Mus musculus: one gene and its partner. The protein of the gene in region 1 purifies or fractionates together with the protein of each later gene. This does not show direct contact. Links are inferred from orthologs where the notes say so. Each region holds a gene or a part of one and is shown in the gene's direction. Other genes may lie near its edges. The genes, in order: Mtmr9 and Atpif1.

The links.
Region 2: the proteins of Mtmr9 (region 1) and Atpif1 purify together in Homo sapiens (affinity purification with mass spectrometry; 5 studies listed by BioGRID and IntAct, with this or other methods). This does not show direct contact. The link is inferred for Mus musculus from reciprocal best matches to the Homo sapiens genes MTMR9 and ATP5IF1.

What each region holds. Positions count from the first base shown.
Region 1 is NC_000080.6:63,533,486-63,549,175, reverse strand, and holds the start of Mtmr9 (myotubularin-related protein 9), read left to right. Parts: upstream 1-5,222; 5' UTR 5,223-5,536; coding exon 5,537-5,718; intron 5,719-6,051; exon of another isoform or gene 6,052-6,118; intron 6,119-6,719; coding exon 6,720-6,828; intron 6,829-8,796; coding exon 8,797-8,922; intron 8,923-12,010; coding exon 12,011-12,184; intron 12,185-14,631; coding exon 14,632-14,849; intron 14,850-15,690. UniProt on the Homo sapiens protein: Acts as an adapter for myotubularin-related phosphatases. Increases lipid phosphatase MTMR6 catalytic activity, specifically towards phosphatidylinositol 3,5-bisphosphate and MTMR6 binding affinity for phosphorylated phosphatidylinositols.
Region 2 is NC_000070.6:132,526,644-132,542,301, reverse strand, and holds Atpif1 (ATPase inhibitor, mitochondrial precursor), read left to right. Parts: upstream 1-6,887; 5' UTR 6,888-7,563; intron 7,564-8,366; 5' UTR 8,367-8,733; coding exon 8,734-8,820; intron 8,821-8,914; coding exon 8,915-9,006; intron 9,007-11,478; coding exon 11,479-11,620; 3' UTR 11,621-11,747; downstream 11,748-15,658. Other genes in the region: Dnajc8 (dnaJ homolog subfamily C member 8), read right to left, coding at 464-520, 4,014-4,115, 6,639-6,716.

The sequences.
Region 1 (15,690 bases):
TCCACTCTTACTCAGTATAGTGATTGAAGTCTTAGCTAGAGAAACAAGACAAGAGAAACCAGTGGGATATCAGTAGGAAAGGGGCTAGTAAAATTATCCCTATTTACAGATTACATAATAGATCTCACCAGAAAGCTCTTAGAATTGATATATGCTTTCAGTAAAATAGCAGCACCAATGTCAAAGTACAAATCCCAGTTGCCTTCCTATGCCTTCAGTGAACATGCCAAGGAAGGGATCAGGAGAGCAATCTCACACACAACAGCTTCAGAAAAATAAATGTAACCAAAGAAATGAAAGTCTCTGTTAAAGTTCGGAAACATTGGAGAACCCAAAAAGGGCCCTAGAAGATGGAAGACTCTCCCACATGCATGGATATCCACATGAGGATCTCTATTTCTCATTCTGCACAAAAATAATTTCAAAACAGAACAAAGACCTAGATGTGAGATCTAAAACTTTAAAAATGCTAGAGGAAAAGGTGGGGGAAATTAAAGATACAGGAATAGGCAGGTCTTCTTGGAATGGACTTTACTAACAAAGGAACTAATCTGAAAGATTGATGAATGGGATTGTGTGAAACTGAACAGCTTTGTCACAGTCAAGGAAGCATCAGCAGCACAGAGAAGGGATAGCTTGCTGAATGGGAGCAAAATCTTTGCTATATCTGGTGGAGGACTAATAGCTAGAATAGAGAACTCGAGAGACAAGCTATCAAACACCCAAGCAATTCAATCAATCAATAGGCTAATAAATTGATGAACAGAAAATGGCCAGTGGATGTATGCCACTGTGTTCAACATCCTCAGCCATCAGGGAAAGGTAAATTAAATAAACATCGAGATTCTATCCCATTGCAGTCAGAGTGCCCATCCTTTAAAAAGCAAATGCAGATCTGGGAGACAGCTCAGTCAGTAAAGTGCTGGCCATGAAAGCATAAGGCCCCGAGTTTAATCCCCTAGAATACACTGGCAAAAAGCTGGGTGTAGAGCAGCTGAAATAACTTAGGCAGAAAAGGTGCTTGCCACCAAGCTTGTCCATCTGAGTTTGATCCCACCCAAATAAGAGAAGTAACTCCTATATGTTGTCCTCTGATCTCTACAAGAAGATCTATGTACACACACACGTACACACACCACCACCACCAACAACAACAACAAATGCATTTGAGGATGGAGAAGAGCCCTCCTATACTGCTGGTGGGGATGTAAATTAGTTCAAGTGCAACAGAAAACAGTACGTGGCTCCTCCAAAATCTAACAGTGAGATCATCAAGATGGTTCAGCAGGAAAGGATGGCTGCTGACAAAGCCTGATTACTTAAGTTCAATCACCAGAATCCTCAATGTATGAATTCTCACCTAACCCATGCCTGTGTCATGTCATATAAGACATCAATCTTAAAAGGTAAAATAAAATAATAACTGAAAAGAAAACTAACAATAGAATTACCACAATGACCCAGCTAGACCAGTCTTGACCATCTGCCCATAGGACTTCCAATCAAAATACCACAGAGAGACTTGCACATCAATGTTTATTGTAGACTGTTCACAATAGCTAAGCTATGAATCAGCCACATCTGTCAATAGCTGAATGGATAAAAAAAAAGTGACACTCTCAATGCACTTTTATTCATATGCGCAGAAGAAATTAGTGTTTTCAGGAAAGTAGATGGACTTTGGATCATGTAAAGGGAAACAAATCAGATGCAGAAAGACAACAATCACGTTTTCTTGTTTGTAGTTCTCAGGATGAAATTTTTCTGATTATACACCTGTACCATTTTAATCTTGAGAATAAAGATAATAGTAGTACCTGCAAGGCAATGACGAAGTCCTTTAAAATTTTTTCTTAAAAAAACATTCACTTTATTTGTATGAGTGTTTTAACCTGAATGTATGTAGTACTCTTTGTGCTTGCTTGATGCCTTTGGAGGCCAGAAGATGGCACTGGATTCCCTGCATCTGGACTTAAAGATAGTTTTGAGTTTCCATGTGGGTGCTGGGAAGTGAACCTGGGTCCTCTGAAAGAGCAGTGACTACTCTCAATCTCTGAGGCATCTCCCAGTGCTCCTTAATATTTCAATTCAATTTTATGGTGTGTCCTCTCTCTCTCTCTCTCTCTCTCTCTCTCTCTCTCTCTCTCTCTCTCTCTCTCTGTGTGTGTGTGTGTGTGTGTGTGTGTGTGTGTGTGTGTGTGCAGGTGTATATTACTGTGTGGGCCTGGGAGTTTGAAGGTCAATATCAGGTGCATTTCTTGAGTCCTCTGAACTTTATTTTTGAGTCAGTTTCTCTCATTGGTTGGTCCAGAGTTTACTGTTTCTGCTACAGTGGTTGGCCTGTGAACCCTCAGGATCCTCTTGTCTCTGTCCCCCTTCTCTGGCACTGGGGTTTTAGACTCAGATTTCTTCTTTGTATATGTTCTGGGGTTTTGACCTTAGGTCTTTACACTTGCTCCTTACCCATTGTGGTGGTGGGAATAAGAATGGCCTAATAGGTTCAAATATTTGAAAGCATAGGGATTAGCACTATTTGAAAGGTGTGGCCTTGTTGGAGGAAGTGTGTCACTGGGGATGGGCTTTGGGGTTTCAAATGCTCAAGTCAGACCAGCAGCTCTTTAGAGCTTCCTGCTGCCTAAAGATCCAGATGTAGAACTCTCAGCTCCTTTTCCAGCACTGTCTGCCTGTGTGCTATTATGTTCTGCCATGATGATGATGGACTGAACCACTGAAACCAAAAGACACCCTCAATTAAATGCCTTCCTTTATAAGAGTTGATGTGATCAGACTGAGTTAGAGAACAGACTGAAGGAGCTGAAGGGGTTTGCAACCCATAGGAAAAAGAACATCAACCAACCAGACCCTCAGGGCTCCCAGGGACTAAACCACCAACCAAAGAGTACACCTGGAGGGACCCATGGCTCCAGCTGCATATGTAGCAGAGTATGATGTTGTCGGACATCAATGGGAGAAGAGGCCCGTGGTCTTGTGAAGGCTCGATGCCCCAGTATAGGGGAATGTGAGAGCCGGGAGGTGGGAGTGTGTGGGTGAGCATCCTCATAGAAGCAGGGGAAGGGAGGATAGAATAGAGTGTCTCCGGGGGAGACCTGGAAAGGGGATAACATTTAGAATGTAAATTAAGAAAATATCTAATTAAAAAAAAAAAAAGAGTTGCTGTGGTCATGGTGTCTCTTCACAATAGAATGCTAAGGCACCCATTGAGCTATCTTTATAGTCCTTAAGTAAATCCATTGTACACATTATAAATTTTATTATTTTCTTGGCTTATCAGAATCCCCTGAGGCCCTTATTTCTTGACTGTTTGGACAGTTAATATTTGACTACATCATTGGATTATTTTAATAGAGGCATATCCCATTGACTTTGAATTCTACCGCCACCTACTGCTTATGTGGGGAACTGTTTCTTGCTCTTTACTCAGGCTTTATTCCTAACTACTAAGTTTGGTTTTCTCAGCGCTAGTGAACTTTCTACGCTTTGAACTTCAAATCACTGGTGATTTAATTTCCTAATCGTTTCTGGTACTTCATTATAACAACTCAGAAGATACCTAATTTTTTTCTCTTGGCAAAAAACAAATAAAAGGAAAAAATCCTAATTTATGACTTTATAGAGCATGAAACATTTTAACTTAATGAAATAACGTTTTCATAATTTATTTTCAAGAAAACCAGAAGGGCCACAGAATCCATGGAGACTTTCTATCTTCTAGCATATACTAAATTGGACACTAAGTTCTTCCTTGGATATCTTCCATTCGGGGAGCCTTACCCTTCAAGGCTTTACTTTCATTTTTTTCTCTGTATAACTTTTCATTATTTTTCAGATTAAAAGTTTTCCATTCCACAATTTGTAGTTAATACAATGAGTCAAGTGAGGAAGGAAAGTAAACAAATCCGGTGTGGAAAACACCTCCACATTACTTCACCTCAGTCCATCAGCATCCATTGCTGGTTGTTTTCCTTTTGCAGATAAACTGGATCGCAGGAGTGAGTGATTTAGGAAGGGAAGGTTTTTAGAAAAGACAAGAACAAAATCAAGGACAAACACTGTGCAATCTGGTCAACTTCACTTTGCACACTCTGAAGTCAGCTACCTTGCTGTTCGTAGACACTGACTGGGTGGTGAGAATTTTCACTGCTAACACAGTAAAAGCAGGCCAGGACTCAAACATAATTCTTATTCTGGGATAAAGTAGAGGGATAGAAAGCAAGAAGAGGGAAATTCTATAGGTGGAACAACATTATGAACTAACCAGTACCCCGGAGCTCTTGACTCTAGCTGCATATGTATCAAAAGATGGCCTAGCCGGCCATCACTGGAAAGAGAGGCCCATTGGACTTGCAAACTTTATATGCCCCAGTACAGGGGAATGCCAGGGCCAAAAAGTGGGAGTGGGTGGGTAGGGGAGTGGGGGGGGGTATGGGGGACTTTTGGGATAGCATTGGAAATGTAAATGAGGAAAATACCTAATAAAAAATTAAAAAAAAAAAAAAAGAAGAGGGAAATTACAACAGCAAAACTCTGTCATTGCAGTGTCCGTGAGCAGTTCAGCTAGACTGTACTTAGCCGGGATACTATGAAGTCGTGACCAATATACCAAGGTCTTGATTTCAGGCTTTGCTACAGATTAACTGAACTATCTCTGAAGACACTAGAGTCCTTTCGCAGGGCGAGGATTAGTCAGTTTCTCTTTCCATCCTTTTAGAATATGCTGTTCTTGGTTAAAGTCATGGCGCTCTCAAAGAGTCTAAAGCATAGATTGTCCCATGTCTCTTCCAGACACCAAGATGCTACTTTTCGATCACAACCTCCGCTTCCATCCTACATTTGACATCTCTTCGTGACCAATTCATGAGACAACTACCAGGTAGCGCAAACGAAGAGCCCTTGAGGGACAGCACTCATGTGGAGGCTGGCAGGTCAGCGACGTCTTCTCGTCTCGCCTTTTCCGATAAGGAATATTTGAAGGGCAAGGATTGCGGCGGTAGAAGGTGAAAGAGGTTTTGGTTGGTTTTGTTTTGTTTTGTTTTGTTTTTCCATTGTAGGACCATAAAGTCATTGTTTCTGGCTGTGTTCCACCGGATCTAGCAAAGTACCAACTTCCGGTCCGGTTTCTATGTCTTCCGAGTCTCGAGTCCCTCTAATTGTGCAGGAGTTCCTGCCGGGTGCAACGCTCAGCAGCTACTTCCGCCAGAAGTCCCTGGCTGCTCGGGCTCGGATGCTGCTGCCCCGACGCCGGGTCCGTCTCCTCCGCAGCCCGCCCGTCAGACGCCGGTGGCAGCGGGGAGTGCAGGGCCTGGCGGGAAGCCTTCTCTGCGACCGAGTCCCGGCCAGTGGTGCGGAAGAGACTTGGAGAAGCGGCCAGGGCGGTGCCCGCAGGCCCTGGCGCACCCGCCCAGCCGGGGCGGGGCTCGACCTCCCGGGCCCGCCCAGCCGGGGCTCCGTCCGGGTCTGCGGATTAACCGCCGGGCACCTGCGGGACTGGGCCTCCCGCCCCTAGGCTGCGCCCAATATGGAGTTTGCGGAGCTGATTAAAACCCCACGGGTAGACAATGTGGTGCTGCACCGGCCTTTCTACACCGCCGTGGAAGGGACCCTGTGTCTGACAGGCCACCACCTGATCCTGTCTTCCCGGCAGGACAACACGGAGGAGCTCTGGCTCCTCCATTCAAATATCGACGCCATCGACAAACGGTGAGCGCCCACCACACCCAGGTCCCGGAGGAGCCTGGAACGGAACAGACGCTTTCAGGTGGTTTTTTATGGGTATCCTGGCTCAGCCAGCCAAATGAGCCTTCTGGGGCCTAGATCTATCTGCACTGGCCACCTGGCATCCCCAGGCTAAGGTCTCAGAGTCGTAGTGGTCATTTTGAACAGCATTTGGGCGTATTTTTAAATGTTCTTTGTAAAAAAAAAATTTCTTCCACCACATTTCTTGAATTATTGGTTGTTGTTAATCTGACTTCACGAAGTTATGATTCAATACAATTTAAAGCGACCCCTCCCCCACGATCTCGTTTTTAAATAGGCATGCTCAGCCCTTTGCAGCATAGGCCGGTCTTGAACTTCCAACTCTCCAGCCCCAGCCTCCCAAGTAAGTGCTGGAATTACAGTTGTGTGTGTATGGGCCGCTATGCCTGGCCATAGTATTTAACTGAGTACACTGTCATTTTTTCCATATATATGCATATGCATTTTAGTCTCTCCTTAAAACGTTTTAAAATCGGTAAGGTGCACCCCTGTAATAGCTGATGGGGAGTGCCGATGCAGGTGGATGACAAATTTTACACCCCTGCTCATTTAGGGAAGACTGAGTTTATCATATTGCATCTTACTTATTCTCTGGAATGATCACTTCCCACTGAGGGTAATCATTAGCCCTTAACATTCAGTTTTTCTTGTGAAAAGAAAGGGGCTGGCTCTAAAGGAACATAGGAACTAATTCATCTTTATTTCCCTACTCCATCACTTTAAATTTTTTATTTTTACTTATGTGTGTATGTGTGTATCTGTGTACAAGATACCATCAGCAGACTACTAGACTCCTCAGTTCATCTTTATTGCATAAATGTATTCAATGGTCTCTCATGCCTGCATGATAAAGACTGAATCCCTGGTTCTCTGTGTTCTGGTTCTCACCTACTGTCCTCACTAGTTTTCTTACCATTTTCATGATTTCATGTAATTTCTTACAGATTTGTGGGCTCTCTGGGTACCATCATCATAAAATGTAAAGATTTCCGAATCATTCAGTTGGATATTCCTGGAATGGAGGAGTGTTTAAATATAGCCAGTTCCATTGAGGTAAGTATGCTGCAGGCAAAATTCTGATAGGAAAATGGCGATATTTTGATTTTGTACAGCCCTTGATGCATAAGAATCATTTACTGTGCGAATCTTGCTACTTTCGCTCTGAAGACAGTTTGTGAACTGTTTTTCTGTTTCTGTAGATTTCCTGAAAGAACATCCTATGTGAAATTGTAAGCCAGTAAAACAAATACAGTGTAGCTGATTGTGGCCATGTTACAGTCCTTGGGCATCACAGTGAGCAAGTGTGGTCATCCTGAGTGGAGCAGCTCTGAAACCCTTCAACTCTGAGCAGTGCTCTTATACTGTGATTGTTGCAGTAGTGAGGTCCTGTTAACATGGGGCCTATGGGTGAAGCACCTCACCTCTCACAGTTAGCCTGTAGTGTCTTATAAAAGGAAGATGACATTACCTGCCTTTTATAGGTGTTTTACGATTACATTCGTGGGTTTATGTAGAATGCTTAGTATAATTATTGGCAAATGGTTGCTGTCATTGGAGGACCCTTCTATGGCAACAGCTTTATTTTGAGACTTTGTGGTAGAAATTAGCCATATCACATAAAGTTCACTGTCGTACCATTTCTTAGCTTACCATTGCACTGTGTGTCAGATGTATACTCTCAGTGTTGTGTATACAGACAAAGCAAGTGATTGTCACCAACAGTTGCCATTTGTGACTTTGGCATGTCTGCACGTATGTATTTGTTTTTGCCAGTTCACCTAAGGCGTGTCTGTTTATGCATGTATAAAAGCGTTGAGCCACACATAGAAACTTTGCTTGGATAGTTTAAGGTCTCTGATGAAGGTCTCACATTCTTTTCCTTCTTCTAACTATTTTGGTTACTCCAACTTTTAAATTGCTGCCACTAAATTATATCAATTATATCAACTGACTGTTTAAAGTAATTTCTAGGCAATTATAGAGTCAAGCTGATTTTATTTTCTTTCTGTGTAACTGACTTACTGGGCTTTATGTAAAAAAAAAATAGTGGGTTTAGCTCTTAAAAGGAGAGAGAAAGCCTTAAATCTATAATTAGAATTTTGTTTGGCTTTCAACAAGAAGTAGAGGATCAAGTAATATGTTGTCGAGGAAATGACACACAAACCTTTCTGCTTTTGCCAAGTTCTACTGGAAGAAATGAGCATGTAAGTTGAATAGTCTGCCATATGTAGTTGTCACTTGGAAGTATGCTCTTGACTTGGCTGTACTCCCCAACATGAATGAGAAAGCAAACTGAGATAATGTTCCACTGTTTGGACAGAGGGATGCCTAGGGCTCACTTTGGTTGGGCATAACTAGTGTAGCATAGAGATAGTAGGACGCCTCGCCAGATCCCTTTAGGAAGGAGGAAGTGAGTGTGGATGAAGCTTTCACATGTGTGTATCTTGTTAGAGCTAGTTTTATTGTGTGCATTGACTGTTGTTGGCCTATTAGATGCCTTATCTCCATGGACACTCCTAATAAGCCTGAAAAGTTTCTTCCATTGAACAGGGGAAGCTATGTGACTTAACCACTATGTAGCTGGGATCTGGAGCTTGAGGCTTCTGGCCAGAATTGAGCATTCCTTTATATAATAAAGGAATAATTGATAAGGGGACATAGCTTTTGAATAGTTTGCAGTGTTTAGTTAATTACTAGATTTTTAGCTGAGACTTTACTAACTAATCCAGACCTCCTTGTTCCCCAGCACCCAGAAATTCTTGGACATTTTATTGAGCTTCGTTAAATTGTACCAGGAAGCATTATTTCACTAGGCACAGACTGTCCTGGTGCCTGTTTCATTCAGGCAGCACTTGTTGAGTGTAGGTGTTTGTGTCAGTGTCTTGTTAGATGATGAAGTATGAATGCTGGAGTCAGACGAGCTGCATGGAGAGACACGTATTGGGCTCCATCATCACCAGACCCTGTGTGCCTACTGCTACTTTGTTAGATTTGTAGAATCTTTTTCTTTCTGTTCTCTAGGCATTGTCCACTCTGGACTCGGTCACCCTGATGTACCCTTTCTTCTACCGACCCATGTTTGAAGTGATTGAAGATGGCTGGCATTCTTTCCTTCCTGAGCAAGAATTTGAGTTCTACTCTTCTGCTGTGAGTCAACATTTGACATTGTGGGTGATAAGAACTGACACAACCCTTTATTTTACTTGTGAAAATCCTCTCTTCCCTTTGAAGATGAGTGAGGTGGAGTTGGGTTATTCGTGCCTCAAGTTAAGAGTGTGCACTGGCTGTTGGTTCAGCTCCTTTTGTTCTGAGCTGGTTATTTTGTCCGTGTGTTAGTATAATGTCTGCAGCTGGCAATGCTTTTCCTTCTAGTAGATTAACATAGTCTAGGTGTTTTAATTTTTTTTTTAAATTATATTTATAAATATTGTTTTAAAAAATAAAAATAATGGTCTGGGGAGATGGCTCAGCGGTTAAGAGCACTAGCTGTTCTTCCAGAGGTCTGAGTTCAATTCCCAGCAACCACATGGTGGCTCACAACCATCTGTAATGGGATCTGATGCCTTTTTCTGGTGTGTCTGAAGATAGGATCAATGTACTCACATACATGAAATAAATAAATCTTTTTTTTTTTTTTTTTTTGGTTTTTCGAGACAGGGTTTTTCTGTGTAGCTCTGGCTGTCCTGGAACTCACTCTGTAGACCAGGCTGGCCTCAAACTCAGAAATCCACCTGCCTCTGCCTCCCAGGTGCTGGGATTAAAGGCATGCGCCACCACGCCCAGCAAATAAATCTTAAAAGAATAAATAAAAATAAAGCACTGATTTGCTTAAAGCTCACCTTGGCGACTGTGCATTAATTAATAGGTATCTCCTGACTAACGACTTAATATATAATAGATTTGGGCACTGTGTGCCTAAGATAGTGCTGGGGAACTCCTCACCTGGCTTGTGCACTGCTCTGGGTTAACGCCTGGCCTGGTCTCTGAGGCCACCTGCAGGAACCAGGTTTTCCTTCCTGACTGTTTGGCTTCTTTTTCTTACTTTTATAAATGGTCACTTGGAAATCAAGAAGTAGAGGTTAGGGATCCATGGCATTTGAAGAATGAAGATGCCCGTGGTAGCAGAGGGAAGAAGGAAGTTTTATGGTATGATAAATACCATTGAAAATGGTGAAAATGTAGTTTAGTCTAGAGCTTGTTTGAGAGATGTGTATTAAAGACAAAAAGTTGGCAGGAATCAAACTGCATGTTATGAAAAGCATGGGGTAAGGGGGAACCATAGGCTCCTGAAGGATGTGTCTAAAATAAGAAGGGAGCCAGGGTTTGAATTTCCTGGGAAGCGGGAAGAACAGTCTGTAAGAAGCATCCTTCAAGTGTGGGGAAGCAGCAGTTTGGCTGTGCTCATAGCTTACTGCTCCCCCTGGGCTAGGAAGCAGTGAGCGTGTGCGCTTCACAGGGTCAGGAATCGAGGCGAGTTTATTCCTATGCGGTATTTCTGGCACATGACCAGCAAGTGGTAAAGAGTTGTTAAGTGAATAAAAGAATGTAAGACTTTATGGTATTTATAGAATGGGACATAAGATCTTGTGTCTATCATTAGAAAACCTTTGAGAAGGACGGGTTGTCTTGATCTGTAGATTTTGGAAAGCTGGGTAATTTTTGTTGTTGTTTGTTTGTTTTGAGCTTCTTTTGTTTGCCAACCACAAAATTCTATAATCATAGTATTATCTACTTCTGCTTATCAGTTATGTCTCTTCGCCCCATGCAATGTGATATTAAAAGAACAGAATATTTAGAATATCTATAAAGACATCTCATTAGTCTCATTCAGTGGCTTTGTTAGAGATCAGCATACTGTGGCATTGGTCGTTCAGAGCAGCTCACACTCTGACAGAAGCCCTTGTTCCTCTAGGAGGAAAAGCTAGGAAGGAGCCTGAGGCGATCAGTGATGCAGGAGGGCAGTGAGGAACCCTGGGCAGGAGCAGGCCTGAGAAAGGAACCTTGACATTGTGTGCAACCCAGGTCTCTGGCTGTGAACAGAGTGAGCATGGAGCTGAGCCACCATGCAGCACAGGCTGTGGACTTCATTAAGCTACCAAGGTCTAAAAGCATGCTAAAAACCTCTGCACCAAATGTGTCTGCTTTCACAAGGGCTGTGATGCAACCAAAACTATAGAGTAAGAAATGTCACCCATTCTCCTGAGGACAGAGTCAAGAGGCACTCAGCCTGAGATGGCCCAGATGTTTGAAGGATTCTAAAGCAGTAGTTAAAACTGCCTAAGGAAATATGAGAAAGTGAGCACAAAGTGGGAACAGTACAGAAATCAGGTGGGGCTGGAGACATGGCTCAGTGGTTAAAGAGAGCTTGCTGCTTTCCAGAGGACCTGAGCTGGGCTCTAGCATCCTCATGGGGCAGCTTGCAACTACCAATAACTCCAGCTCTAGTGAATCCCATGGCCTCTTCATGCCTCCACGGGCACATGTGCACATGCTACAGCAGGCACACATGCACACACATACACCGAGTCAACAAAGTAAGTAAAAACTTTTGCAAAATGTTTGAAAATAGAAGAAAGCAATTAAAATTTGTATGAATTTGATCTTGTAAATTAAAGTTTCTGTTTCACATTTTACCCTAATTTTCTATTAACTTAAGCCAGGGTTGATATGTAGGATCAGCTTGAATTTTTAGGCACATATTAAAGTTTGCACATGTAATATGGGTTTTTAGCTGTAAAGTGCAGTTTTACATTTTACATGCAGTTTTCATTTCTGCTGTTTGATGGTTTCCTGTCACATGCTTCCATAATGCAGGAGCTGACTTAGAAACGACCTCATGACACATAAGGGCTTTCCAGGAGTGTCTCCTTGTCATAAGGAAAGAACTGTCTTTAACTGTCTTAAACCTTTGCCAGGCTGTCTTGTGGAGAGCTTAGGCTGTGCTGTCTGTGTCATAGTTTAAGCTTCAAATGATGGTTAAGCGTCACATACAATAGGTGTGTTTGGCTGGCACAAGCAAGCAGTTTCTAGGGACACTGATCACTAGGCATTCCAGAGCTATTGAAGCTGGTGTGAAGAGTGGAATTTTTTTCCTCTACAGGACTTGAGTGTGGGCTAGATATCCAAATTCCCTGTTGAATGGCTTCCCTGGAAATCATTTCCAAAACTTTTAAATCTTAGATGCTCTATGACACTGAAACGGTGGCTAAGTTTTGAAGTGCTATGTGTTTTTCAGACCAGTGAATGGAGACTGAGCTATATCAATAAGGACTTTTCTATCTGTCCTTCCTACCCACCAACTGTCATTGTGCCCAAGTCCGTCGATGACGAAGCACTTCGGAAGGTAGCAGCCTTCCGACATGGGGGGCGCTTCCCAGTCCTGAGCTATTACCATAAAAAGAATGGCATGGTGAGTATGAGGGCTGCCACTCTGCTGGCGGGTGGTCTCCTGTGGGCTGGATCCTTGAAAATGATCTCTTGTCTGTGTGGCTTTCCTCTGAAGTCAGGCCAGATTGTTCCTACTAGTGCATCCTTCATGTAAACTGCAGGGCCCCAGGAGTGGGAGCTTTCCCAAAGATGCTCTAAATTCTTTCTTACTGCTCAGCTTTAGAAAGGTTAGATTCATCTTCAGAGCATAGTGTGAAGGAAACTGCAATAGAAAATCTGGGATCCGGTAGGCCGTTCATAGTCTGATGGAGTGACACCACTGCTCCAATGTGGAGCCTCAGCATGTTTATTATGGACAGGACAGGGGAGGGCCCAGCTAGGTGAGAGGTAAGCTAGCAGGCTCTGCACTTGTTAGTTTTGCATATGCTGTCAACATTTATGCTCAGAGGAAGGGTGTGCCATTTCTCTGACCTGACCTTGGGCAAGATTTTGTCTATTTCCCATGAGTCTGTGGCATTGGTCTTTGTGACATGGCCTGCTCATATCAGCAAGACACTTCACTCAGGGCTTCCTAAGTTCCTCACAGGAGATACAGCAGTCTAGAGCTTGCCCCACGTAAGCTTTCCAAATTACTTTCTGCTTTTTCCCCTCCCTTCCCCTTCCTCTCTCCCCCTCTTTCTCCCCTCTTCCCCCCGAGTCCCACCCCCCCTTGGTTTTGAGACAGGGTTTCTATGTTTAGTCCTGGCAGGCCTGGACTTTTCTGTAGACCAGGCTGGCCTCAAACTAATAAAGATCCACCTGCCTCTGCCTCTGGAGTGCAGGGATTAAAGGTGTGCGCCACCATGTCTGACACTTTGTCCTCTCTTGATTTGCTTCTTATTCTGCAGCCCATATTAAATTAGACAGTTACAACTCTCTTCCATTGTCCTTCCCCCTGGGAATATGACAGAGGGATCAATGTGACAGAGTTAAAATTGTGCTCTTTAGTCAGCAGGCCACCTGTCCTGCCAGCAGTGGCATTGCTCCTCAGTTTTTAATCACAGTGTTTAACAACTGAGACCAAATGTAGTTTTGTGCCCTCTGGTGGCATCAATATAAAATCATTGCTGTTTATTCTGAGCCAAACAGTAGTATCTGCCCTGGGTGACAGGCTTCATCAGCTCCTGCAGTCCCAAATAAAGGAAGGCACAGGTAATGCATGTAACGGCTGCACTGGGGAACACCTCAGGTGGGTGGGTGCAACAAAGCTAGAAAGCTGTGTGGGTTTCAGATGTCACTGCTTTAGATTTAGGGCGTACAGAGATTGGCAAAGCCTAATGGTGTATCCTGCAAGGTTTTCCTCTTAGTCACCAGGCTATTGGAACAGATCCAGAGATGGGCAACTGCTGTGGAGAAACAAGTTAATGGAGGAAGGATGTGCACTGGTTCACAGATTCGATGTTTTAGTCCCCGTCCTGCTGCCTCCACTCCTTTGGGCTTGTGGTGAGGTAGAACACCATGATGGAGGGAGTGTGGGGAGAAAGAGGCTCCTGACCTCAGCAGAGAGACAGGAAGAAGAGGCCGGGGGGGCAGGGCTATCCCCTAATCACATCCCTAAATACCTGTTTACTCCAGCCAGGCCCCACCTCCTAACATTTCCTCTGCCTCCCAAAAACTTAACCACAAACTGGCCGCAGGCGGGGTTGAACTGTTTGCGAGTGGTGAGAACATGTGATGAAGGTTTTCCTGAGACGTCTCCAGTCCATTCCCTGGAAAGAGACTGGTCTAACAGGCACTGAATTCTTGAGAAAAGCTTAGAAAGCAAACCTTTCAAATGCATAGATGGTCGTCTTCAGACAGGCAGTCTCAGAATAGAAAAAAGGCCGGCAGAGGGCAGTAGAGGGTAAGTAATAGACAGGCAGCCCCAGAACATTGACGATGACTCCCCAGAAAAGGATGCATGTTGTTCACTTTGTTTCTCTTCATAATTCTTGCCTTCTAACCCTATGTGTATGGAGGCGAAGTTTGCTCTTTCCTCCAAGATTATGTTAGTCTCTTAGATAAAGTGATAAAGATATAAAGAGGGGACAGAACTTATGGATTTTATCCTGTGTTTAAGTGTTGGGCATGAGACTAAGGTCCAGAAAGTGGAATTATCAAAGAGAAGGGTGTGGACTTCTGGGCTGGGGCAGTGAAGGCACTGGGCAGTCAGTTGGTTGGGGTAGAGAGGAATGTATATGCAGTCAGCCGGGTTGGTTGGTTACACAAATGAAGCCTCCCTGGTCCAGGAATATCATTGTATAAAAGTTCAAGGCTTATCTTTGTTTTTATAGTATTAGCTGTTGCTAATACATGTAGAGTTTTGTGTATGGTACACTCATCAGAATCCATGACAACGTGCCACAGATTGTTTTTGAGAGACTCCTGATGCAGCTCCTTCTCAGGAACTTCAACTGGCTGCTACTGAATTGTTACCATGTGTGCTTCCAGGTGATTATGCGAAGTGGTCAGCCCCTGACCGGCACAAACGGGAGGAGGTGCAAGGAAGACGAGAAGCTGATAAATGCCACCCTCAGGGCAGGAAAGCGTGGCTACCTTATTGACACCAGATCCCTAAATGTGGCCCAGCAAGCTAGAGCCAAAGGAGGTGGCTTTGAACAGGAGGCTCATTATCCCCAGTGGAGGCGGATTCACAAGTCCATTGAGAGGTAACAGTCAGGGAGATGGAGCTCCCTGTAGACTGATTGCAGAGGGTGATCCCTGGCTGTTCAGAAATCACAGCCACTCCACGGAACTGAGGGTCTGCAATAGGCTGGACAACTTATTGGGGGTTCTCTGCTCCATCTGCTTTACCCAGGTTTAGTGGACAAAAACGTATGTCTGTCAGTGCATACAGCTCTCACCTCATAGGGAGAAAAAGTGAGTTTATTCTTGAGCCAAATACAGTGGCCTTGGCCCAGAAACACAGATTTGGGTTCCTCCAAATGACATGTTCCAGTGTGGAAGTGACTTCATGAAGTTTTCATAGTCGTAGGATAAAAGGCATGAAGTAAGGCATTTTCCAGGTACATTGGTGAGAACATCAGGTGGGTGGGTTACCGCCAGCTAGCAGCTCTCAGGTGCTGTCTGGCAGCATTTTTAGCTTTTATGCTAGTGGTTTGCTAAGTTAATGGATTCCAAAGGTTTACCAGTGGTGGAAAGGTTAGGTCAAACAAGATGGGCAGAGTGGATGGCGCCTAAAGGACAAGAATTAACCAAACATAACTTGACTGGGAATATGCAACATTCCAACTCCACAATCACACTGTTCAAATCAGTCAGTCTTGACTCTTTCACATAGGTGTGGCTACTTTCTGCAAACTTGCATTCATACCATTGTGTATGATGTACTGTTTAGATTCAGCTGTAGGTTGTGAAACGTTAAAGCAACATATCCATCATCTTACCTGCTTGTCTTTGGCAAGAGTATTTGTGTCTTCTTTGTCAGCAGTTTTCAAGTGGCCCTGTAACTGCTGTGTGTTCTGTAGAGCCAGCCTCTCAGGTCCATGG
Region 2 (15,658 bases), on another chromosome or scaffold:
CACGCCTTCTGTGTCCACTTTGGTCCTGGACAGTATAATTAATTCCATTAAGTAAACCCAAGCGAAGTGCTTTGACTTTTGCTTTTATTTAACATTTATATCACTATATGTATGCGTTACTGTAAGATTGTAACAACAACTGTTAATCTAGCCTTAATTTGAAAAGGAATGCAGGGTTAATTTCAGCCCAAAAGTATCTAGTCCTCAAAAGTCATGTAGCTGAGTTGACAGAGTGCTGTGTACACATGAAAACCTGGGTTCAGTCCCCAGCACCCCATAAAGCCAGTGTGGCTTGTGCCTATAATCCCAGAACTCAGGCGGTGAAAGCAGGAGGACCCCAGGTTCAAGATCACCCTTAATTACACAGTGAAAATGCTAGGCAAGCCCAAGCTGCATGAAACCCCATCTGGAAGAAACAAACAGGAAGGAAGCGCAAACTCTAATGCGAGCAACAGTACCATACCTGACGAAACCTCTTTTTTATTTCTTCATCTGTCACTTCAGGATCTATCTGAAGAACCTGGAAGAACCAAGATCAAAACTGTAAAGCTGGACATGGCTGCCCATATGTCATCTCAATCCTAGGAAAACAGAGGCAGAAACATGGTAAGTGCAGGGCCAACCTTGGTTACAAGCAGCACAGTTGCAACAAAAACAGAAAACTGCAGGGAGTAGTCCTGGAAGTCTGCCACGTAAGGTCAGAAAGTCAAGACCATCCGTGGCTATGTAACAAATTCAATGCCAATCTTGAGACATGAGACATCATCTTAAAACCAACCAACCAACCAATCCAGGAGGGGTGAGAATCTGTATATGTGAGTGTGCGTGTGTTTAAGTATGTAGCCACCTCCTTACATGCCGTCTGTCTCCACTTTGGTCCTGGGCAGTATAATTAATTCCATTAAGTAAAACCAAGTGAAGTGCTATTCACTCAATCTCATAGTCCAGAACACAGAGCACAGAGCTCACCAGGACAAGGAAGGGAGTGAACACCCAAGTAGTACTTAGTCAAGTGCTAGAGCCCATGCTGGGGGAGAATGGTGTCCACACAGAACAGCAGCTTGACATGGAGTGCTGAGAAAGGATGAGGAGGGCAAGCTCCGAGTAGGCTGCCAAGCACGCCCTGTCAGAACTGATGAGTAGGGTAAAGATATGAACATAGGCTCAGCACACTGGTTCACACCTATAATCCTAGTGTTTAGGAAGTTGAGACAAAAGTTATAGGCTGACCTAAGCTAAAAAGAGAGACTCTGATTATAAAAATGAAAACGGCCTGGAGAGATGGCTTAGAGGCTAAGATCATGCACTGCTCTAGAACGAGGAGAGCTCAGCTCCCAGCCACCTGTAGTCCAGCTCCAGGAAATGCAACAGATCTGGCCCCCCATGCACACCTTCTCACCCACTCACAGGTATAGAGACCCACACAGACGTGTTCACATAGTTTAAATAAAAATAGTGGCTGGAGCAATGGCTCAGTGATTAAGAATACTTGTTGCGGGCTGGTGAGATGGCTCAGTGGGTAAGAGCACCCGACTGCTCTTCCAAAGGTCCAGAGTTCAAATCCCAGCAACCACATGGTGGCTCACAACCATCCGTAACAAGATCTGACTCCCTCTTCTGGTGTGTCTGAAGACAGCTACAGTGTACTTACATATAATAATAAATAAAAAATCTTTAAAAAAAAAAAAAAAAAAAAAAAAAAAGAATACTTGTTGCTCTTGCAGAGGACCCAAATTTGGTTACCAGCTCCCATCTTGGATGGCTCACAACTACCTGTAACTCCAGGGAATCCAACATGTCTGGTCTCCATGTGCACCTGGACTGATGAACACAAATCTACACATATTCACATAATTTTAAAAGTATATGTATGTATATGTGTGTGTATATAAAAATAAACCTTAGCCAGGCAGAGTGGCACAACCCCTTTAGTCCCGGAACTTAAGAGGTAGAGGCAGGAGAATCACCGTGAATTTGAGGTCAGCCTGGTCTACAAAGCAAGATCCAGGACAGTCGGGGCTACACAGAGAAACCCTATCTTGACAAACAAACAAAACAAACAAACAAACCAAAAAAAAAAAAAAAATCAAGGGCCAATCTAGTATGCACAATGGTAAAATGCTTAAGTAATATTTGAAGCCCTTTCAGTCTGATTCCCAGTATCAAAGATTAGAGAGAGTGAGGGGGGGGAAGGAAGGGGAGAGGTACGGCTCAATGGTTAAGAGCCCCCACTGCATACAGAGGGGGGGGCTCAGTGGTTGTGGTTAAGAGCCCCCACTGGAGAGTTAGCGCCCACACAGTGGGTCACACCCCTGGATCTCCAGCTCTGACACCTCTTATAGATTCTAGGCATGTACATGGTATACATATACAAATGCAGACAAGGCATACACATACATTAACATTTTAAAAATAATAATAATCAGTGTATTTAGAGGGTTAAAGGAATAGACCTAAATAGAGCCACTGAGGGTAGCACCAGAATCTGTCTGCCACCCTGTGTTGAAGAAAAAAAGGAGGACACACTGCCAACCCACTGCGATTTGAGGTAAATGACTTTTGGCTTTCTATCACATGAGAAAGAACAGTGATTAGTGTTGAGAAGAAATGCTCAGCGGCAGGCGCAGTGGGTGGTGCACGCTGTGCTCCCAGTGCTCAGGACTAGGAAGTGGGAGGACTAGGCTGAGCCACTCTGGGCTACATTAGAGATATGTTCAAAAACTCAAAGGGCATTCGCTTCTCTAAAATCTCCTGATCTTAGTTCTGTTTTTACTGAATATCTGGTTTTCTTATTTTCCTGTAACAAAAAAGTTTTAGCAAAGTTTTTACTTTGTTTTGTTTTATTTTTTTGAAGCAAGGTCTTGCTGGAGCCCTAGGCTGGCCCAAGCCTTTCTATGTAGACCAGGCTGACCTCAAACTTGTAGGGATATCCCTGCCTCTGCCTCCCAAATGCACAGAGAATTTCTTATCTGGGACTACCATTTTTTAAGGTCAAAAACCATAAGTTTATCAGACCAACTATAGCAAAATAAACAAACAAATCCTTGTCTACTTGGGCTACTAAAGGTTGGAGAACATTTAACTAGACCAAGTTTATCTCATTTGGTGCTTTAACAAGCTGCCTCAACAAGTCTACTCACAATAAAAGCATTCAACCTCAAAGACAACCTGCCTGTCACAAAAACATCACCACCCTTTTTTCATTCCCAACCAATAGAACTTTGGGGTGTACGCTGTTACATAAGTCTGCTCCCAAGCCAGGTACTATGATTTACACCTATAACCCCAGCACTTAGAGCCTGAGGCAGGAGAACCATAGAGTCAAACCTCAAGGCTAACCTGGGTTATAGAGCCAGCCCCAGGCCACAGTGAGCTACAGTAACATCCTGTTTCAAAAACAGCTGGCGCTCTTTAGCTCGACATTCTTACTCTCATCTCTAGCTCCCTTCTCCCCTCCCTTCCCCCCTTCTCTCCACATAACCATGGCGGGCCTCTCTCTCTTTTTCCTTCCCTCTTTCTCTGTGCTTTTCTACAATAAAGCTCTAAAATCATTTAAAAAAAAATACACCAGCTGGCCAGGGCTGGAGAGATGGCTCAGCGGTTAGGAGCACTGACTGCTCTTCCAGAGGTCCTGAGTTCAATTCCCAACAACCACACGGTGGCTCACAACCATGTGTAATGGGATCTGATGCCTTCTTCTGGTGTGTCTAAAAGCAGCTACAGTGTACTCATATAAATATAATAAATACACCTAAGACAACAAAAAAACCCAGGTATGCTGGTTCATTTCCACAATCTCAGCATTTGGGAGGTTGAAGCAGGAGAATCTGGAGTTCAAAGCCAACCTTGAATACATGAGACTGTCTCAAAACAAACAAACAAACAAACAACCCTACTTACGTATACGTATGGAAAGCTGTCCACCATAGAAGCTACAGCAACAATAACGAACTCGTACATAACTGTCATATGCAAAGCTCTCCCACCAAACTCTACAGTAACAATCTACTCACCTCAAATGGGTTCAGATTAAAGTAAGAGGAACCAGGACGAGTCAATCTTTCAATTTGATTTTTGGATGTTAGAACTGAATCTCTCTTCTCTATTTGTTTCACCTAAAAGTAAAAGAATTGGTAATCCCATTAGTAAGAATAAGCTAAATATATCTACTTTAACACAACGCTAAAATGCTCAGCAGACAACGATTTATATCTCCCATGTCCAAGACACTTTGGTAACTGGAGAACAACCACAGCGGCGTAGCTATTTTACAATGATATTTCAGATCTCCACGTAAATGCTAAGCATGGCCGCGTGCGCCTGGAAACCCAGAGCTGGGCAGGGAGGAGACAGGGAGGCCCCCAGAGCTCACACCCTGCACAGCCCGGCTAAACTGCTGAGCTCCAGGTTCAGTGACAGGTCTTGTCTAAAAGAATAATATGGACAGTGAAAAACATATGACAATGACCTCTGTGCCCATTTGTGTATACATGTACGCTACATGCAATCTGTAAAATTCACATTTACTATGTAAACACTTCTCTCCAGGAGTATTAGCCACTCCACATTTTTTTTAATTATTTTGTTTTATGAATATGAATGCTCTATCTGCATGAATACCCACATGCCGGAAGAGAGCATCAGATCTCATTACAGATGATCGTGAGCTACCATGCAGTTATTGGGAATTGAACTCATGACCTCTGCAAGAGCAGCCAGTGCTCTTAACCGCTGTGCCATCTCTCCAGCCCCCATTATCCCATTATAGGGAAATTATGGCTTACAGAAAGTGAGGTTTCCAATTACCTAACTTGTTAGAAATTTACCCTATGTCTGACTCACAATCAGAGGTCGAGAGGATTCCCAGATACTAAACACAACTACCACCAGAGACCTATATAGCTGCATGTGGGTACAATTAATCTATCTTTTTTTTTCTTTTCATTTTGAAAGGCAAAATGCACACTGAACCATGACCTATGAGCAACATTCAACACCATTATGAAGGACTTACGAGGTGGCTCAGTTGGTGGAGTTCTTGCCTAGCATGCACAAGATCCTGGGTTTGACCCTTGGCAAAAGAAAACGGCTGGGTGTGGTGGCTCATTCCTGTACACGAGCACTTAGGAGGCTGAAGCAGGAGAGTGAGCCCTAGTTCCAAGCAGCCTACACTGCGAAGTGAGTAAAGCCACCTAAGCTTCATTGGGTACTTGTCTTAAAAACAAAAGGACAAGCAGGGTGATGGCGGCAACCATCTTTGACAGACACGGGTGGGTGATCTCTGTGAGTTCAAGGCAAGCCTGGTCTACAAAGCACCAGGACAGCTAGGGTTGTACAGGGAAACTCTTGTCTCAAAAAGCCAAAACTAAATTTAAAAAAATATAATAAAAACACAAGAGGGCTAAATCAGAGTCCGTGCTGATTGTCAATGTTGCACCGGGAAGCACAGGCCTTTCTTCTCTGTTTCCTGCCTGAGGATGTCAACTGCCCTGCCTCCATTTTCCACCAAGATGGACCAAAATTTCTCCAACTGTGAGCAATGCAAAATATGCTAACAATGTGAAGGAAAAAAATATTTCCTAACATAAAAAAAAAATTTTTTTTTTGTTTTTGTTTTTTGAGACAGGGTTTCTCTGTGTAGCCCTGGCTGTCCTGGAACTCATTCTATAGACCAGCCTGGCCCTGAACTCAGAAATCCGCCTGCCTCTGCCTCCCAAGTGCTGAATTAAAGGCATGAACCACCATCGCCCGGCTTACAAGTATTCTTATAAGCACAAGAGATAATGGCTCTGGTCCCAGCACTTTGGAGGCTGAAGCAAGAGGGTCCAACCTGGGCTACCAGAAAGTACTTAATTCGAAAACGACTGCTTTATAATTTTCAAGCTGCTTTTTTATACACGAAACCCTTTAATCGTCGTGAAAACTCTTACAATGTTAACTTGCCAGTGTGGGAACTGATGTCTTGAAATTTCAACAGCAGTTAGGCTAATTGCCTTGCGAGAACGCAATATGTGGGCCTCTGACGCCAGATAGCTAACTTTAACTCAGTTTATTCATTCATTTAATCAACGGATATATGCGAAACATCCACCACGCATTAGGCACTGGCGATGCAAATGTCAACAAGGCTCAGAGCAAGTTCACTCCTGTCCTACCTGACACCAAGAACGTATGCACCCTCTTAAGAGGTTCGTCATGTTAAAGATGGAGGGTTCACATACGCATTCTTGTCCCGATGAACAGTGCTCAGCACTGATAAGACCGCAGAAATCGCCACTCGCACAATTCATGGCAGAGGAGTGGGACAAGGGCCTCCTTCCTGTTTACAAATAAAAGTGGGTGCGCCGCAGCTCGGCCTCCGCCAGCCGGAGACTCCACCGCCAGCAGGCTGCACCGCGCGACCAGCAGCTCGCCGGGCCCCTCTCCGGGTCTGGGTCCACAGGCCCAGCCGCCCCGCCGCGTTCCGGGGACCTCAGTAGCCACAGTGGCGGTCGCGCATGCACTCCGCAGCCGATCCGCAGTCCCCAGGCCAGACGGCGCGGGCCAACGGTCCCAGGAGGCGCCTCGCCGGCCCCAGCCGCGGCGGACGAAGCCGGAGCACGGTCGTCCTAAGGCCACCATCCTTACTCCGGGCTCACCTCACTGTAGAAGGTCATAAATGCCTCCTCTGTGCTGCCTCCGCCACCCGAAGCACCACTCTCTCCCGAAGCCGCCATTTTCCCGGCTAACCACCACGTGACCGTTCTGCGCAAGCGCAGCCTCACGTAACCACCCAAGCCCGCCTTCCCGGACTCCCCGCCCGCCAGCTGAACTTAAAGGGGCCGAGACCTCTTTTTTTTTTTTTTCGGTTTTAGTTTTGGTTTTTCAGAATAAGGATAAAGTTTCATAGTGTTGCCCTGGTTGTCTCCAGTCTCTGACAGAAAGAAATCTGTTGTCTCTGGATATACCTATTATTATTCTGGACATTTCCCATGGATGGAATCTACTTATACAATTCTTATTTAGGTTTTTTTCATGTGACAGTTTTTTGGTTTTTTTGACCCAGGATTTCTCTGTGTAGCCTTGGTTGTCCTGGAATTCTCTCTGTAGACCAGGCTGACCTCAAACTCACAGAGATCTACATGACTCCCTGGAGTGCTGGAACTGGCCTGGGTAACCACCATGTACCAGTTTTTTAAGAGTTTATCCCAGTGGAGCCTATCCTGGTACTCCAGAGGCAGAGGTAGGCAGATCTTCTGAGTTTGGGGCCAGCCTAGTCTCTATAGTAAGTTTCAGGACAGCCAGGCCTGTGAAAAAAAAACTGTCAAAAAAATTTTTTTTTTTTTTACTGCATTTTATGGTGGCATCCAATTCCTCAAAGGTATGTCTATGCTATGATTTGTTGACCTCTTCAGTAGTTCAACATTTGGGGTCTTCTCACCTTTGGACCACTGTGAAATAGTATTATGAAGCTGGACATATGCCTGTAACCCCAACTCTGGGGAGGTGGAGACGGAAAGATGAGAAATTGGCTTCTTCACTGCGAGTTTGAGGCCATCCCGAGTTACAACAGATCTCATTGAGGTAGGGACAAAATCGGAAAATGGGATGGAAGCAATTATGAGCATGCATGTATAAGGATCTGTGCTTGGAGTTTGTTATTTAATTTTTAAAATTATACTTACTTATTAGTGGGGGCACAGTGTCACAATGCACATGGAGAGGTCAGGGAGAACAACTTTCAAGAGTCCGTTCTCTCCTTTCACCATTGGGGCCCAGCACTAGCCCTATGTGTGGGGGGCGGGGGGGGTGCGGGGGGGGAGTGTATGGGGGGGTGTGGGTGTTTATTCGTTTGTTTCTGAAAACAGGATCTTGTTATGAAGCCCTGGCTGGCCCAGAATTCCCTTTGTCGAATAGGCTAGATTAAGCTAGATTAAGCTCTTCCTGTGTGCCTCAGGAGTGCTGGGATTACAGGTTTGTACCACCAGTTCGCTTGATGTTCTTTTCAGTGTCCTTGTAGCCCGTCACCAAGTTATTAGGTCCATTCACCGACACATTGATACAGTTCAAAATTACTAATTCACTACCTACTAAGGCTCTGATGGCTTCACAAAGTAAACTGTGAGAAAGAACTCAGAAGCAAGGATAAAAAAAAATTGCTGTCAGGATGACTAGGAAGGTCAAAGAAGGGTTTCTCTGAGAAAGTGACATTTAAGGTGAGAGAAGGCACTGCAGTGGCAATATAACCAAAGAACAAGAACACCTCTTAAGAGATAAACACGATTTCATATGTATAAACAGAGGTTTGAGGTCGATATCCAGGCTGTCGGCATCCTAGGCATGGCTACCACAAACTTTGTGTTTCCCCAATCTATTCATGTCCATAGGGCTTGCCATCGTGTACATTTTTAATAAAATCGACCTTTGGACGGAAATTGTGCAGTGGGAGTGAACGAAATGCCTCATTCTAAAGAGACCAAAAGCCAAGATTCATCTTTTGACTTCGCTCTGTAGACTCCTGGGTCATGATGCGTTAGAGCCTTGTTTATTAACTGTTAACTAAGGGATAAATCCGCCTCCCTCTCAACAAACGCTGCAGATATCATAAGCCCCGCCCCCTCCCTCCTGATTCGCGGTTTCCGTGCTCGTCCCACCTCCCCGGCGTCTAGATTGGCAGTTCAGCCGCCCTCGCAGTTAGCGCGCTAGGAGAGAAGCAGCCACGCCCGCAACGCGAGCTGAGCAACGCCGAAGACAATGGCAGGCTCGGCGTTGGCAGTTCGGGCTCGGTTCGGTGTCTGGGGTATGAAGGTCCTGCAAACCCGAGGCTTCGTCTCGGACTCGGTAGGTGGCGGCACGGCCCAGCGCCCATCGCGGGGCGCAGGTTCTCTCTCCCTTGTTGTGCCTTTTCTTTTCACGTCCACGACTCTCTTTGCAGTCGGATAGCATGGATACGGGCGCTGGCTCCATCCGAGAAGCTGGTGGAGCCTTCGGAAAACGAGAAAAGGCTGAAGAGGATCGGTACTTCCGGTGAGGCCCACCTGGTCCCAAGTCCAGCCCCCAGTCGTCCTCCCTGTCCTTTCTACGCTCTCTGTCGCTCCACCCATCTTTACCTGGTCCCTTGGGGCGCCCATCTTCTGGCAGAATTCCAAGGCTGATGAAGCCATCGGGTCGCCTCGTAGTCGAGACTGCTAGTATCGCACTGCTGGCCTCCCAGCCAGCCTTAAGCCTTTTACACCGGTTCTGCAGGACTCAGCCCAAGGGTAGTCTCCTAATTTATCGTTTGCTGTCATCTTCCCCGCATTTCCCCCGCAGTCATCCCCTCTGCACCCCTGGTTGTGCGAGACTCCCCCAGGTGCTCCGAGCAGTGTTTACAACTAGCCAGAACATGCAGAGCCTCTGAGCCCGGCTCACTCACCTGTCACCCCCATCTTTTCTCCCCAACTTCCCTCTCCTCTCTTTAGTTTTTGTAAGGCTGTGTCCATTCCCTGAGGCCTCAGATCCTGTCAGCCATTTCTAGATCCTCCACGTGTCTCCAGTTCTCATGATCTAGATAGTAGCTGCTCAAGGTTAGACTTCCCCCACTCCGGGAGACTTGCACTACTCAGGCCCTGGGTTGTACATTTCTCTGGACTGGTTAGAAATAGGGAGTGGACTAGGTCTATCTACAACCTTTTCCCGGCCCTGAGTTATCTTTAACTTCTGTCCACTGGAGAGCAGCCAGAAACTAATCTTGCTTCCGTTTCTCCTTTGGTCTGCGTCCTAAGCCCATAGGGGTTGTTGCTCATTTATGGAATAAGAACTTAAACAGAGACCTGGATTTCAAGTCTCAGTACCCAAAAAAAACAAAACAAAAAAAAACAATTATCAGGGGGCTGGTGAGATGGCTCAGCGGGTAAGGGCACTGACTGCTCTTCCAAAGGTCCTGAGTTCAAATCCCAGCAACCACATGGTGGCTTTTAACCACCCATAGTGAGATCTGATGCTCTCTTCTGGTGTGTCTGAAGTCAGCTACAGTGTACTTATGTATAATAAATAAATCTTAAAAACAAAACAATTATCAGGATGGCAATTCTCCTGCCTCAGCCTTTCAAGTGTTGGAATTTTAAGCTATGCCACCACTCCTGGCTTGGGACCTATGTCCTTTACCTTATGTATTATTGTTTTGTTGGATTGTGTTTGAGTTTTCTTTCCTTTAATTCTGTGACGGTGTTGGGATATGTGCACAAGTACAGGTGCCCATTGGGAGTTAGAGATTAGGTGCCCTTGGAATTAGAAATACACGTAGTTCTAAACTCTTGAAATGGGTGCTTGGGGGCTGGAGAGATGGCTCAGCGGTTAAGAGCACCAACTGCTGTTCCAGAGGTCCTGAGTTCAATTCCCAGCAACCACCTGGTGCCTCACAACCATCTGTAATGGAATCCACCAGCAACAGTGTACTCATATACGTAAAATAAAATTTAAAAAAAGAAAAGAAAAGAAACGGGTACTGGGAACCAACCTGAGGTCCTATGCTGGAGAGATGGCTCAGGGCCTAATAGCAATGACTGCTCTTCCAGAGGAACCAGGTTCTATTGCTAGTGCTCTCACAGTGTCTAACAGCTGTCCATAGCTCCAGTTCTACGGCATCTCAAACTCCCTTCTGGCCTACATGGGCAATACATGCATGTATCCTGTGCCTTTAATCCCAGTGTTCTAGAGACAGAGGCAGAAGAAGCAGGCAGAGCTCTTGAGTCTGAGACCAGACTGGTCTACATATTGAGTTCCATGAAAGCCATACATAAAAAGATGCAGCCAAAACATACATGTAAAATGTAAAAAATGTAAAAAAAAAAAAAAAAAAAAAAAAAAGCTGATCACGGTGTTGCACACCTTTATTTAAACATGCCTGTATGTGCATGTGCACTTTTGTGTGTGTGTATGCATGCTTGGGCCAAGTGTGTGGGGACCATCAGAAACCAGTAGAGAGGAGTTACAGATAGTTGTGAGCTGCCTGACATTGGTATTGGGAATTGAATTTGGATTCTTCTAGAAGAGAAATACATTATCTTCATCTCAGAGCCGTCTCTTCACTCTGATTTTCTGTGTGTGTGTTGCCTGCATATATGTATGTATGTATATCCCATGAGTACCTGGTACCTGTGGAGGCTAGTACCCTGGAACCGCAGTTACATGTGCTTGTGAGCTGCTGTGTGGGTTCTAGAAATGGAGCCTGAGTTCTCTAGGAGAGAAAGTTTCCAGAGCCAATTTTCCCTCCCAACTCAGGAAACTTCAATCTGGAACTTATCCAAGGACAGCAGTTGAAGCCCCTAGAACTGCAGTTATAGATGGTTGTAGGCCATCATGTGGATGCTGGGAACTGAACCCTGACTCCCACAAGCTGCACCCCCCACCTCCCACCCCACCCTGTGCACATATACAAGTAAATGTGATTAAAGTAAAGTAAAGATCTCCTTGAGATGAAAGATTGGATTAAATCCCTCAGCCACTGTTTCTTTATAGAGAGAAGACTAAAGAACAGCTGGCTGCCCTGAGGAAACACCATGAAGATGAGATTGACCACCATTCGAAGGAGATAGAGCGTCTGCAGAAGCAAATTGAACGCCATAAGAAGAAGATCCAACAACTAAAGAATAATCATTGAATGCGCGCAGTCGGTCCCTCACAGAGTGGCCCGTATCACTCCCCACGTCTGTAGACACATGGCTTTGAATGATTACTATTTGGTCTGTGTGCTACTAACAGATAATAAACGATCACCAGGAAACTTGCCTGATGCCTTCTACTGTCTAGAGCAGCAGTTCTCAACCTTTGGCTTGAGACCCCGTTTGTGGGTAGAACGACCCTTTCACGGGAGCCGCCTAAGGACATCTGAACCATCAAATATTGACATTCTGATCGGAAAAACAGCAGGGAAATTACAGTTATGAAGTAGCAACCAAACCTTTAAGGGGTTGAAGCATTAGGAAGGTTGAGAACCACTAAGGGACAGAAACTTCTCATCCATTAGAATGAATTGAGGGTTTCTACTAAATAGAGTACGGGGGAGGGTGTGACCCTGACCTCAGTCTAATCAGAATGTGCAGAGACAGCTTGAAACGTAAACCCCAGTCCAATGCCTAAGCCTAGCTGCGGTCTGGAGGAAAGAGTAAACAGAGTGGTTTCTAAGGCTAGGACCAGAAACAATAGCACTGTCTTACTAGAAGGCTGGCTCTTTCATATGAACTAGCTATTGCTCTAAGCGTGAGACAACTACAATTAGAAATCATTCCCAAAGCCAGGCGTGGTGGCGCACGCCTGTATTCCCAGCACTCGGGAGGCAGAGGCAGGCGGATTTCTGAGTTCGAGGCCAGCCTGGTCTACAGAGTGAGTTTCAGGACAGCCAGGACTATACGAAGAAACCCTGTCTCAGGAAAAAAAAAGTTGGTTTTTTTTTTTTTTTCACTTTCCAACAAATTCTTTTTTAAAAAGATACATAGAGCCAGGCAGTGGTGGCACACACCTTTGATCCTAGCATTCAGAAAGCAGAGGCAGGCAGATTTCTGTTAGTTCCTGGCTAGCCTGGTCAGTTAGTTCTAGGAAAAAACAAAACAAAACAAAACAAAAAACAGTCTGGCCTTCTGAGACCAACAGTTGACCTAACTCCATAGTAAAGCCATTGCTTAGACATGCATGAGGGCCTGGTATAATCCCAGCACTAGGTATGGAAAACGTTGCCAGGAATAACACAGTAAAACTTATGACCCTCAGTGCAGAGATCTCAGGGCAGACCTTTCTTCCCCCTTGCATTGGAATTGAGGAAGTCTTCCCGGTTGTGTGAGTATTCAATGTCTAGATGACTCAGCGTTCTACTGCTGTGGACTCTGTGTGTGTGTGTGTGTGTGTGTGTGTGTGTGTGTGTGTGTGTGTGTGTGTGTGTTTTACACAGTTATTTTAGGTATGGGGAAGGTTTGGAGTGGTGAGTGAGTATGTTTCTGCCGCAGAGATCCGAGGACAACTTAGGAGAGGACTCCATTCCCTACCATGTGGGTTCTGGGGGTCAAATCCAGATCATTGCCAGGCTTGGTGGCAAACACCTTTAACCATTGAGCCATCCTACCAGCCCTTTTTTGGTTTCTTTTTCCTTTTTTCTTTTCTTTCTTTTCTTTTTGTTTTCTGTTTGTTTTGATTTTTTTGTTTCGTTTGGTTTTGAGACAGGGTTTCTTTGTGTAGCCCTGGCTGTCCTGTAGACCAGGCTGGCCTCAAACTCAGAAATCCACCAGCTTCTGCCTCACAAGTGCTGGGATTAAAGGAGTATGCCACCACTGCCCGGCCCTTTTTTTTATGATATATATGTTTGTTTATTACATGTAAGTACACGTCTTCAGACACTTCAGAAGAGAGCTTCAGGTCTCATTATGGATGGTTGGGAGCCACAAGTGGTTGCTGGGATTTGAACTCAGGATTTTCAGAAGAGCAGTCGGTGCTCTTAACCGTTGAGCCATCTCTCCAGCCCCCCATTTTCTTTCTTTAAGAACTAATCCAAGCCAGGCGTGGTGGCGTACGCCTTTAATCCCAGCACTCCGGAGGCAGAGGCAGGCGGATTTCTGAGTTCGAGGCCAGCCTGGTCTACAAAGTGAGTTCCAGGACAGCCAGGGCTACACAGAGAAACCCTGTCTTGAAAAAAAAAAGAGCTAATCCTATAGAATTTTATAAAATAGATTATTTACAGCTTGCACAAGATGTAAAAGTTACAGAGCAAGTTACAATTATCTGCTTGTTACATCTGAAGTTATTTTTGGCAAAATATTTTCATTAATTTTTTAAATATTTATTTATTTATATACATGAGTACACTATTGCTCTCTCAGACACACCAGAGAGGTCATGAGACCCCATTACAGATGGTTGTGAGCCACCATGTGGTTGCTGGGATTTGAACTCAGGACCTCTGGAAGAGCAGTCGCTGTGCTCTTAGCCGCTGAGCCATCTCTCCAGCACCCCCATTTTCATTAATTATGCATACTTTTTTAGACTTGATACTCCTGGAAATCAAATGAAGGTTCTTACCCGTATGTACTATAAGTATGCACCTTACCACTGTGCTACATCCTCAGCCTCATGTTATAGCCAGAGTTGCAGCAGGTTGTGAGGTAACTTCTCCAAGGTCTTGTGAAGTTTGTCCTGAGCAGAAAGCTGTTTCCTCCCGATAGTGCTCTCAAAACCCTTAGCTACAGTTCCAGGGCTGCGGTTTTGATGCCAATAGTTCCCTCTTCCATGCGGTGTGAGAAGTGGTTGCTGTCTGTTCCTCAGAGGATGGATCGATGGATGCAGGCTCCTTGGGTAAGTGTAGACATGGCTGTGGTTTGTGTTGGCACTGACATGTCGGCTGTGACAGGAGGCCCTTCAGCATGTTTGTGCATGCCTCTGCAGTGCAAACTCGTGATCCTAGCTCTTGGAGGTTTCCACAGCAGTTAACCCAAAAGTTGTTTTTAGCTGAGCAGTTATGGTACACACTTTTTTTTTTTTAACAAATCTTTTTTTTTTTAAGATTTACTTATTTATTTATTATATGTAAGTACACTGTAGCTGTCCTCAGATACTCCAGAAGAGGGCATCAGATTTTGTTACGGATGGTTGTGAGCCACCATGTGGTTGCTGGGATTTGAACTCGGGACCTTCGGAAGAGCAGTCGGCACTCTTAACCACTGAGCCATCTCGCCAGCCCCTGGTACACACTTTTAATCCCAGCACTTGGGGGGAGGCAGAGGCAGATGGATGAAAGCCACCTGGTCTATAGAATGAGTTCCGGGACAGCTAGGGCTACACAGAGAAACCCTGTCTTGAAAAACAAACAAACAAACAAAAAGTCTACCCCACTGGTCAAACACTTGAATAGTTCCTGGGTTTGAGTCCCAGCCTGGGAAGAGAAGTTGGGGAAGGGTGGGGAGGAAGAAGAGGAGAATCAACATTATCTTAGGACCAATTAAATCCAAATGTATGGCTGAAGAGATGGCTCAGACAATAAAGTGCCCTCTGTATCCACATGAGGACCTGTAACTAGTCTGGAGGGGGGCAAAGGGAGCTGGAGGCAGGAGGATCTCCAAAGCTGCTTAGTCATCAGCCATCAGCCTAGCGTAATCCATAAGCATTCGGTACAATGAGAGACCCTGTCTCAAAACAAAAAAATACAAAGCAATTAAGAGAATGAGGAAAGATATCTTCTGCGCTCAGGTGCTCACATGTGCATACACCTTAGTACCTATATACCACACACACACTCACATACACACACACTCACATACACACACACACACACACACACACACACACACACACACACACCTCTCCCACAGGCCCTCCTACCTAAGGTGACTTACATTCATAATGTCAACACTTAAGGTTGACACAGGCACATCTCAAGCCATCCCTGGACTCCATTGCAGAACCTTATCTCACAAGAAGAGGGAGCTAGAGAGATGGCTCGGCAGTTGAGCATTTGCTGTGTTCGGTTCCTAGCTCCCACAGGATGGCTCATAGCTGCTTGTAACTCCAGTTCCAGGAGATCCAGGGACAAAGGCACCAAGCATGGATGTGGTATACATACATGCAGGCAAACACCAAAAGACTCATACATATACAATCTTATTACTATATTTGATGTTTCAACATAGGGTTTCTCTGTGCAGCCCTGGCTGTCCTG